2 linked regions of the Cricetulus griseus genome follow. The protein of the gene in region 2 interacts with the protein of the main gene of each other region in a biochemical or structural test. Links are inferred from orthologs where the notes say so. Each region holds a gene or a part of one and is shown on either strand. Other genes may lie near its edges.

The links.
Region 1: the proteins of Pja1 (region 2) and Maged1 form a complex in vitro, tested with the Homo sapiens proteins (2 studies listed by BioGRID, with this or other methods). The link is inferred for Cricetulus griseus from reciprocal best matches to the Homo sapiens genes PJA1 and MAGED1.

Annotation. Positions count from the first base shown.
Region 1 is NC_048604.1:75,451,103-75,456,868, forward strand, and holds the start of Maged1 (melanoma-associated antigen D1), read left to right. Parts: upstream 1-1,866; 5' UTR 1,867-2,032; intron 2,033-2,577; 5' UTR 2,578-2,606; coding exon 2,607-2,651; intron 2,652-3,346; coding exon 3,347-4,048; intron 4,049-4,608; coding exon 4,609-5,277; intron 5,278-5,374; coding exon 5,375-5,438; intron 5,439-5,617; coding exon 5,618-5,697; intron 5,698-5,766. UniProt on the Homo sapiens protein: Involved in the apoptotic response after nerve growth factor (NGF) binding in neuronal cells. Inhibits cell cycle progression, and facilitates NGFR-mediated apoptosis. May act as a regulator of the function of DLX family members.
Region 2 is NC_048604.1:70,902,839-70,908,613, forward strand, and holds the start of Pja1 (E3 ubiquitin-protein ligase Praja-1), read left to right. Parts: upstream 1-2,071; 5' UTR 2,072-2,169; intron 2,170-4,108; 5' UTR 4,109-4,173; coding exon 4,174-5,775. UniProt on the Homo sapiens protein: Has E2-dependent E3 ubiquitin-protein ligase activity. Ubiquitinates MAGED1 antigen leading to its subsequent degradation by proteasome. May be involved in protein sorting.

The DNA.
Region 1 (5,766 bases), about 4.5 Mb from region 2:
GGGAGGGAGCAGTAGGTGAGGAGTATGAAAGTTTTAATCTGCGTCATGACTGAAGACACAGACATGGAAGCAGATAATACATAAAATGGCACCTCAACCTCCTTTCCCGAGTCTGGTCACGTCCCACTGCAGACGCTCTACAGAGGAAGTGCTGAGGAAAAACAGGCAGCTGACAGAGGAGGTTGCTATGCAACAGATGAGGGAAGTCATCCAGCCTGGCAGAATTGATGTCGGCCCTTGGGGACTAAATGCTGCAGTCCTTCCTAGCATTAGCTTTCTTTCATATGCAGGCTCCTTGCTGACGCCAGAATAAATGGGAAACGCGCTAAAATCTGCCTTGGATTTTGGGAACCTATGGGTTTGGTTTGAGTCACTTCGTATCTGTATGTCATTTTTTCTGCGTTTGTCTCTTCAGCCATCTTGGAAGCACAGCAGGCTGTGTGTCCTTGGACAGGGCCCCCTTTCTGTGATTCTTATTTTGGGTAGTCAGTAAACCAGGCTTACCAAAGTTGACTAAAGTGACTATATTCTCAGGGGCTCACATAACCAGGGACAGATAGTCCCGACACTAATCACGCAATTCTAAAGCCCAGCCGAGGTTCATTCTGCAAGAACAGAACAGACACACCTGACTGCTCCGGCCTCAAGCAAGCATCATCAAGTCCTGGGGTCTCACTCTGGGCAAGTGCCTGCCAACGGGAGTACAGAGTGAACCTGAAGGGTTCCCACATATACTAGGCCTCTTAGAACACAGGCTTTGTCCACTTGGAACAAATATTGGGGAGAGGAAAGATTGTCATTTCAATGAAAAATTAAGGGGTGTCTTGATTCTCAGACCAGCACTAATAGCTATATAGATTTTGCAGTCAGGAAAATCCGCACCCCACCCCCCCGCCCCGCCCCATGTTTGGTTTTTGGATAAAGTCTCAGCGTTGTGCACCTGGCCTGGAACTCGTGGCTTTCCTCACTCAGTCTCCAGAGTGCTGGGATTACCAGTGTGCACCACTGTGCTGTGCCAAATTTTGCCCTCTCTGTTTGTTACTTGCTCAGTGCCCTGGTTCATACAGTGGGTTTATGATTTAGCTACCTGGTATGCAAAATGAAGATGTTGCCCTCCATCAATCTTCTAGGGCTGATGTTCGAGAAAAACCAGCTCCAGGACAGATCCCACTGCCCTTATGCCTTTCCCTCCCCTCTCTGGCCCACACCTCATGAAATGTTTCCATGGCAAAACTGCAAATAAATAAATAAATAAATAAATAAATAAATAAATAAATAAATAAAAAGAAAACGGGGTGGGGAGGGCGGCAAGAGAAAAGCTCATTTTCTGAGTCTGGTCAGAGGAAATCTACCCCCTGGCTGGCACTTGCTTTGCTACCTCCTGGAATGTATCCCCCCCAAGGCCGACCTTTAAGGTTCCTGCGTTGCAAAGTGGGTGAACTCAGCAGAGGCCTAGCTTGCAGCGAACTAAGAGACCCCCCGCAGAGGCCTACCTAAGAGGCCCTAAGCAAGGGGTGGGAGGTACTTGCAGGCCTGGCTAGAGAGTCCTGGGTGGGGGGGGAAGGGAGGGACTGAGGAGAGACGCATTGCGGATAAAGGTAGGGGGCTGGTGTGTTGGGCAAGGGGGTGGGACCAAAAGGCGCTGCGCATCTGTTGGAGGAGTGGGTGCGTAAGAAGAAGGGGAGGAACCTTCGTACACTGTCAACCTGGTTGGCGGTGGGATAGTGTGTTGGCAAAGAGGCGGGATCTCCTCCAAGTGCACATGCGCGACAAGGTCTCTAGGATGAAGCTTTTGTTGGGAAAGCAAGCGGGACTCTTATTTGGACAGTTAGCTATTGCGCATGCGCGAGGCTTCCTGAGGCGGTGGGTGGTATATTAGGCGAAGAGGCGGGGTCGCCCGAGCTGCCGCGCTGGCATTTTCTCCTGGACAAGGAGAGAGTGCGGCTGCTGAGAGCCGAGCACAGCAATCCTGATCCTCTGAGTCGTGAAGAAGGGAGACAGCAAGGGGGTTGGGGTTGGGGCCTGAGGCAAGGTGAGATTAGCCCCCAGACTGGGCATCTGCCCCCTGGTGTGGCATCCTTCCCCCATTCTTTTATCCCAATCCCTTTACCCTGGATTCAGAAACCCCCTCCACTACCCGATCCCTGATTCTTACCCCCCCCCCCATCTAATTTAGAACCCCGTTCATTCTCTGAATCCTTATCCCATTCCTTCACAGAATCCTCAAATTTCTCGACCTTGATCCGTTATAGATTCCTTTTGATTGAGAACCTCAATCCAACTTTCCAGAAGCGAATTTTTCCCCCTCGCTCTCCCCCGCCCCCCGAAAACTGCCGCATTCAGAGCTCTTATCAGATTCCAGAACGCGGATTTGAAGCTTTTCCCTATCGGGTTCTGGAATTTTTAAATTGCCCATCAGGATGCTCATTTACTTTTCCCGCTCTGATTAGGCTTGTTTCTCCCCTTATCCAGCACCTCACCCGCCCCCAGCATCAAACCACACACGCACACACAATTCGGCCCTACGTATTTTCCTTCTGTAGTGTAATGCCTAGTTCCTCTCCCACACCCCCCTAGGCTCTGCTCTTGCCAGAGACACAAGAGCTATGGCTCAGAAACCGGACGGCGGTGCAGGCCTCCGCGGCTACCAGGTGAGATCCCCGCTCCCCATTCCTCCATTTTCCCTGCTGACAGATTACGCGCACCCCCCGGCCCCTTTGGTGGCACAAATGGCAGGCTCTGATTTTGCCCTTCTTCCGGCCTAGACTCCGCTGGCTCTCAAATGTCTAGCGTTTATCGAATGGGGGGAGGGGCGTCCCTTTTCAGCCATCGGTCCCTGCTTAGAGAAAGGGGAGACCCTGTTAGTCAGGGCATTCTGCCCAGAGAATGCGGGTTGGGTAAGGAACCATTTTTTTTTCCATAACCCTGACGCGTGTAGAGCAGTCTGTCGCCCCATCCCCCAACCTCTCGCCTCCACCCTCCCTTTCTCCACGCCGCGAGACTCCCCCTCCACCCTCCCTGCTTATCCTCCGCGATTCCTCCCTCCTCCTCCTCGGGTCTTGAGCTCCCCACCGCAAGCCTAACCAGTCCGGCTCTGAACCTGTTTGGGGTCAGTGGTTGCACCACGGTTCCTCACCAGTCCCTGCTGCCTCTGACTGCCCTCACCTTGTCCTGCCCCCTCTATTCTTAACCAAATTTTGTTCCCACCCCGCCTCCCTTTGACCCTTCTGTGCCCCCAGATCTGTGAACTGCGATGCGTGTCTACAGCTCCCCTGCTGCGTATGCCCCTCCTTCTGATCTGGCTTGTAAGGCCCAGAGGTTGAAATTCCCCCTCCTGTATTTGCAGGCTGAGGCCTCTGTAGAAGACAGCGCCTTGCTTGTGCAGACCTTGATGGAAGCCATCCAGATCTCCGAGGCTCCACCCACCAACCAGGCCACAGCAGCTGCCAGTGGGCAGAATGTTAGTCCCCAGAGTTCACAGCCCCCAACTGCCAATCAGGTGGCTGATACTGGGGTTTCAACAGCAGCTGCTAGGCCTAAGACAGGCTTTAGAGCCCAGAATACCTTCTCAAAGGGTCCAAATGATTTCTCTCACGCACGTAATGCCAAGGAGATGTCCAAGAACCAGTCTAAGGCGGCCTATAAGTCACATAATGGCACCTCTAAAGGGCCAAATGCTGCCTCTAATTTTTCCCACGGAGCAACCACAGGCAAATCAGCAGCTAAAAAGTCTGAAATAGCCTTTAAGGTCCAGAATACCACTACTAAGGCAGGCCCTGGTGCCACCTACAATTTCTCTCAGTCTCCCAGTGCCAATGAGATGATCAACAACCAGCCTAAGACAGCTACTAAGGCTTGGAATGATACCACTAAGGTCCCTGCAGCTGATGCCCAGATCCAGAATGTAAACCAGGCCAAAATGGCTAATGTAGGGACCAGCCCAGGTATCTCTGAAACTGGTGGTGCAGCTGCACAGACCTCAGCCGATGGCTCCCAGGCTCAGAATGTGGAGTCTCGGACTATAATTCGGGGCAAGAGGACCCGCAAGGTGAGATCCCTCCTAGCTTTACTTAGCTCCAAACAAAATAAAGGGCGCATATACCTGTATTGGGGCTAGGTTTTAGGGGGTGTTGAGGTAAATGTTTATTCCTGACCCCTGATTGTCCACAGGTTGATGGTGAGTTTATACAAGGACAGATAATCTGGATCACCGTACCACCTGTGTATAGGTCATTTTACATTTTGACAGTAAACACCATGGGTGAGGTCGTAAGCTAGGCTGGCTCACACCAAATTATCATTGAAGCTTCACCTCACTAGCTAGAGAAAACACAGGATGAAATGAGATGGCTTGAATTCAGGATGATAGCAGTAGTCACACAGGAAAAGGAGAAGCCCTAGTCCCCACTTTATGGTTGTTCTTGGTCTGGTTTGGACATGAATCTCCCACCTGAAAGACAATGAAAAATAAACATAAAGTGACCGATGACTAGTGAAGGGTCAGAATGTCCTTATAGGTGGAAAATTCATAGGAACTTCCTAGATTAGCTGCTGGGAGGACCAAGGATTAATAGTGACTCTGGAATTTTCTTTTCTCTTACGATGCAGATTAATAACTTGAATGTGGAAGAGAACAGCAGTGGGGATCAAAGGCGGGCCTCACTAGCTTCAGGGAACTGGAGGTCTGCTCCAGTTCCGGTGACCACTCAGAACCCACCTGGCGCACCCCCCAATGTGCTGTGGCAGACCCCACTGGCTTGGCAGAACCCATCAGGCTGGCAAAACCAGACAGCCAGGCAGGCCCAACCAGCACGTCAGAATCCCCCAGCTAGGCAGACAGCAACAGCTTGGCAGAACCCAGTTGCATGGCAGAATCCAGTGATCTGGCCTAACCCAGTGATCTGGCAGAATCCAGTGATCTGGCCAAACCCCATTGTCTGGCCTGGTCCAATTGTGTGGCCAAACCCAATGGCCTGGCAGAATGCACCTGGATGGCAGACCCCACCTAGTTGGCAGGCTCCACCCAGTTGGCAGGGCCCTCAAGATTGGCAAGGCCCTCCAGATTGGCAGATACCCCCTGATTGGTCATTGCCCCCTGACTGGTCATTTTCCACTGACTGGCCTTTTCCACCTGACTGGATCCCTGCCGATTGGCCGATTCCACCTGACTGGCAGAACTTACGACCCTCACCTAATCTGAGATCCACCCCAAACGCCCGTGCCTCACAGAACCAGGGTGCTCCCCAGCCCCGAGATGTGGCCCTTCTTCAGGAAAGAGTAAGTGCTGGATCTCTTCACTTATTTTCTCTTGTCCTTCTCTTGTAGTCAGCCAAGTTTCCTGCAAACATAATTTTAATTCTTTCTTTCTCCCCAGGCAAATAAGTTGGTCAAGTACCTGATGCTTAAAGACTACACAAAGGTGCCCATCAAGCGCTCTGGTAGGTCCTTCCCCTGTCCGTGTGCTCTGCAGGCATCTTTTGTTTATACATCCCTTCCCTTGCATAGCTGATTCCCTCATTTCTACCTTTGAGGACCCTGGCTGAGCTACCCTCACCAGGGCTGCCAAAGGGCCTGCTACTCTATGATCCAGCTCAATGCTAACCCTTCTCTCTTACAGAAATGCTGAGGGATATCATCCGAGAATACACTGATGTTTATCCAGAAATCATTGAACGCGCCTGCTTTGTCCTGGAGAAGGTAAAAAGCCAAACCTAAGAAACTGGAATGATGGGGAAACTCTGTTTTAGGAGATTCCTACTGGAAGTT
Region 2 (5,775 bases):
GAGGACACAAGGAGCCATATCCTAAAATGGTCTTTGAATTCTCATAATCTCACTAGACACAAATGATCCAAGTTAAGGGGAATCGGATAATGCCAAGGCTTCAGCTGTAATTTCCTTGTTTCAAAAAGTAGAGGGTCTGAAGCTTGAAAGAAAGCAAAAGTTGCTCAGTCGGTATGACAGATGAATTCAAATATGTATTTTATACTGTTTTCCTGTTCCAAATAAATTTTAAATAAAATTTTTATTTAAAAATGCATCGTCTTGAGTCCAAAGTGCTGGAACATTAGTTCCAGCTTAGTTATTGTGTTGGTCAGTCTCCTATGTCCTTAATTATTTACAAGTCCATTTGATCTGTCTATACAATAAACATCGTGAGTTAAAACTTCTGCTGCAATTGTCCACTTCCTGGTGTCTTTGTATTTCTAACAGCAGTGGCTCCATATATTTTGAAACTGAACTGCTTGGTGCATAAATATTGTGATCATTCTCTCTTGTGGTTTCTGAAATGACTATTGTGTTCTCTTAGACGCTTTTTACTTTGAATTCTTTATTTGTATATTAGCATCGCTACTTTTAATGGTGCAAGCTTGATAACCTAGAAAGTTCAAGGTAAACCTGAGCTACATACATAATGAGACCTTGTCTGACAATGACTATAACAATCCCTATGCACATTCCACTCCACCCCCCAAAAAAAGGAAGGAAAAAAGAAATGCTCCAATTTTTGTTTTGTTTTGAGACCCTGGCTGTCCTGGAAGTCTCTATATAGACCAGACTGTCCTGGAAAAAAAACATAAATCCTCTTGCCTCTGGAGGGATGGGGTCAAAAGCATGAGCTACCATGTAGAGTGAATTTGATTTTATGTAGTTAATAGTCCATACTACACACTGTTAAGTGTTGTTTTCTCTTTCTACACACTTTGTTCTTGCTCACCCTCTCGTTTTTTGTTTGTTTGTTGGGTTGTTTTTTTTTTTTTTTGCCCTTTTTTGGATTTTGCCCCCTCAGGGTCACACAGTATTCTTTTAATAGGAAATACCCATACTGTTTGTATTGTCACCCTTGAAGGGTTTTTGTTTTGTTCTACTACACGTTGTATTTCTCCTGAGAGCAAATCTTTGCTACTACTGTGAACTCAAGAACTCTACATTGATCTGAGTATCTATCCATGTAATTCAAAGAGTTCAGGAAGGGTTTATCTGTGACTTACTTTGTTTTGTTTATTTTTCAGAGACTGGGTTTCTCTGTGTAGTCCTGGCTGCCCTGGAACTGGCTTTGTAGACCAGGTTGTCTTCAAACTCAGAGGTCTGCCTGCTTCTGTGTGCTGGGTTTAAAGACATGGGCCACCACACTCGGCCATTTGTTTGTTTGTTTGGTTGGTTTTGGTTTGTCGAATCAGGGTTTCTGTGTGGCTTTGGAGGCTGTCCTGGAACTAGCTCTTGTAGACCAGGCTGGTCTCCAAAACACAGAGATCCACCTGCCTCTGCCTCCCAAGTGCCAGGATTAAAGGTGTGCGCCACCATCGCCCAGCCCATCTCTGACATTTTAAAATGTGTTGCAATTCACAAAATGTGAACCTGTGTTGCATGTAATGTAATGGATAGACAAGCCTGGTTTTGTGACGACAGTACTATATTTCACTGCAAACATCTTCGGTTTGCCTCAGACACCAGGCTTAAAAAAATTGATGTTTCTACTGCAACTCTAAATACCGCTATAGATTTTAATATCCACAGAAAAACCATAGCATGTAACATAGGATGTGATATAGTAATATAATTAACTATAATGTTAGAATTAATCAGAATGTTCAGATTTCAGTTTATTAAAGAAAGCAACTGAAGGAAGGTGACAAACGTTTAACATTTGTTAGAACTGTTACAGTTCTTGCTGCCTTTGTGTTTGTGTGTGTGTCCCTGAAAAAGCTGAGCGTTTCAAACGAAATAACGCTTTCGAGCCCACCCGGATTTGCAGAGGGCAGTAGCCCGCCCCCGCCACATCAAGGGGGCGGACTCGCGCTGACGTCACGGCCACTTCCGCCGCCGCAGTCCCCGCCTGCCCTAGTGCTCTTTAGCGGGGGAGGAGCCGAGACCCGGAGCAGCAGCGGTGGTGGTGGTGGCGACCGAAGGTCCATCGGCTCTGCAGCTCTGAGCACGCGACTGGCCGGGAAGGTGAGTGCAAGGCAGCCTGCTGTAGTAGCCCGGACAGGTGGGCGAGCCTTGCCGGATGGGCATGGGCAGAATTCCAATGACCCCTTTGCGGGTTTATCTTGGGAGCGGGGTGGGGCAGAGGGGACTTGACCACATGCCGAGGCCTGTGGCCTCATTGGGGACCGCATCCCTTGCTGCCCAGCTCCTGCCTAGCCTTATGGCCCTAGCCCGAATGGCCTTCATGGCTGTCGGAGAGAGGTCTGGTGGTCGCGGCCCTCTGCCACTCCTACCTGTCTCTCCTTGCAATGCTCTTGGCGTCTTTGAGAGCACTCTATAGCCTTTCTTCACCCATTTCGCTGCTGTTATGTATAATGGCACAGGGCTAAGATTTTTAGCTACAAAATATGTGCTCAATAAAATAATTACTAAAAGATAAACAGTATTCTGAGGGAAAATCAGGATTCCTACACGAAACCTTTTTCTTTCTTTTGGCCTGCCACATTGATTTGGGTTTGCCCTTTGAGCTAAGGACGTATTCCTGTCTCTTATTATGACATTGCACCCCCTCCTCTGTGTCGCACGCACGCGCGTGCGCGTACACGGGCACACGCACAGGCACACACAAACCTCCTTTGCAGTCTGGTCCCTGTCCCTGCATCCTCAAGGTTTCCGAGAGCTCCTCTGCGCATGTGCAAACAGGCAAGCACACACACCCTCTCTCACACCCTCTAGTTCCTTCCTCTCCCCTCACCTACCTCCTATCTCTAGAATCTTCCCTGTCCTTCTCCTCTGACCCGTGTTTGAGAGTGTATTCTCCCTCCCTCCCTCCCCCCACCCTCCCCTACCCCCTTCTCCCTCACCCTCTCTCTCTCTCATCCCCCCTCCCTCCCTGTCCCTCTCTCTCTCTCCTTCCCCTCCCCCTCCCCCTCTCTGAAAAATGGCCTCCCTGTTCATGTCTGCTATACACACACATCTAAAGACATCTTCATCCTTCTGTTGCTTTCCTTACATACATGTACACATAGGAAGCTGGCTCACACACTCTTCTCAAATGTTCTTTTCTCCTCTGTTCCATACTTCACCTTCACACACAAATCCTCTGGGGACAGTACCCCCTTTCCTGTTTGCCATACTAACATATTCTAGCATTCTTTAGTTGCTGGCCTCTGTATTCCATCCGCCACATACATCCTCTGTGCTTTTTTTCTGCCCCTTGTTGCCTCCCATATTGACTTTTATACACTTTCCTCATTGCTACCAATACCCTTTCACTTCCTTGCCTGTGGAATGCAGGCTTCCCTCTATAGTTCCAGCTGCCACACTTAACAGGAGCACTGCCTCTTCTCTTCTCTCATACTCACAGCCTTCCCCTCTAAAACTGCCCCACCCATTCTTGTCATTCCCACCCCCTACAGAAATCCCTGCATTGCAGGATTGCTGGCCCCTTATCCACCTGTCTCTCTCCTGACAGACACTGCACTTGTGCACGCATACACAGTGAACTATATTTTCAGTTCTGTTCTAAATTGTATTTCTTCTCAATATCTGCAGTTCTCAGAAAACTACATCTCCCCTTTCCCCCCAAAAAATCCAAGCTCACAGCGGGCTTTACTCTTCCCATATTTCCACAGCACATCTACATTCTAAGCATTCAATCACCGCCCCCCCACACACATGCTCTCTCACACACACATACACACATACTCTCTCCCTCTCTCTCACACACACACATTTTCACACACACACATACTCTTTCACACACACATTCTGTCTTATTCCCCACCTTTCTTGTGAACTCAGTCCTGTAATCATTTTGCAAACACTAAAAATGTGTTTCAGGTCTACACCAGTCACAGGAATGCTACCTCAGGCCTTAAAAGACAGTGAAACTAATTTTAAAGGGCCCCTATCTCTCTCTTACCTGCCTACTGAAGGAAAACTAGATCTCCTTATTCTGTAGTTCTGACCTGGGAGCAAGAGCCTTTGCACCTGCATCCCAGCTCTGGTGGAATCTCAGAGTCAGCCATGGGTCAGGAATCTAGCAAGCCTGTTCGGCCCAAACCAGCAGGAGGGTATCGGTCCAATGCAGTCAGGAGTTATGGAAGGAGACATGCTTATGTCAGTTTCAGGCGGTCCACAAGCCATCAGGAAAGGATTGCCAGCCAGAGAAGGACAACATCCGAAGTCCCAATGCACAGATCAGCCCCCAATCACACCAAGAGGAGCCGGTCACCATTTGCCAGCACACGACGTCGTTGGGATGACAGAGAGAGCTCTGGAACCAGCCTGAATGTTGAGAATGGGGATTATCCCAGGTATCCTCCAAGAGAGTACAGGGCCTCCGGGAGCCGAAGAGGATTGGCTTATGGACATATTGGCACTCTGAGGGCACGTGATAGTGAGGAGGAGGGGGCTGGGCCTGTTGACAGACTGCCAGTGAGAGGGAAAACTGGCAAGTTTAAGCATGATCCAGAGAAGGGGGCAAGAGCTCCCCGCTTCTCTAGTGTTAACCATGATGTGAAAGAGGGGCTTGGCAAGGTAGAACCCCCTCCTGCTGCAAGGTGCTCTGCTAGCAGAGCTGAGTTCTTGAAGCAAAGTGGTATGGCCTCTCAGATGTCCTCTGCTGAAGGCAGGGCAGTTGCAAGGGGTAACAACAGCTTGGAGAGGGAGAGGCAGAATTTATTAGCACGTCCTAGCAGGGCTCCTGTGAGTATGTGTGGTGGTGGTGGGGAAAACTCCCCAAAGAGTGCAGAGGAGCCGGTGGTAAGGCCAAAAGTCCGGAATGTGGCGACTCCAAACTGCATGAAACCAAAAATATTTTTTGATACTGATGATGATGATGATGTAGTACCACAGAGTACTCCCAGGTGGAGAGATGCTGCCAGTGCTGATGCTGGCGAAGCCCATGCAGAGGGCCTAGCAAGAAGAGCCCGAGGTGAGGGTGCAGGCAGCTCCTCTGAGCCAAAGTATCCTGAAGACAAGAAGGATAACAGGAATGGGCAGGTGAAACCAGAGAAAGTGTCAAGACGGCGACGCACCATGGCTGACTCTGACTTCTGGGCATATACTGATGACTACTACAGATACTATGAAGAAGATTCTGACAGTGACAAAGAATGGATGGCTGCTCTGCGCAGGAAGTATCGAAATCGGGAACAACCCCAGTCTTCCAGTGGGGAAAACTGGGAGCCTCTGCCAGTAAAGGAAGAACCGGAACCTCAGCAAGCTTGTGAGAGTGTGAACGCCAGCGGAGCTGGGAGCCTTGCCAGTACCAGTGTTGGCAGCAATGGAAGTGGCTATCCTGAAGAAGTGCAAGAACCGTCTCTTCAGGAAGAGCAGGCCTCCCTGGAAGAAGGAGAAATTCCTTGGCTCCGGTACAATGAGAATGAAAGCAGCAGTGAAGCGGATAATGAGTCCGGCCATGAGATGATGCAGCCTGGGATGTTCGTGCTGGATGGAAACAACAACCTGGAAGATGACTCCAGTGTGAGCGAAGACCTAGAAGTGGACTGGAGCCTATTTGATGGCTTTGCAGATGGGTTGGGAGTGGCAGAAGCCATCTCCTATGTGGATCCTCAGTTCCTCACCTACATGGCTCTCGAAGAGCGCCTGGCCCAGGCGATGGAG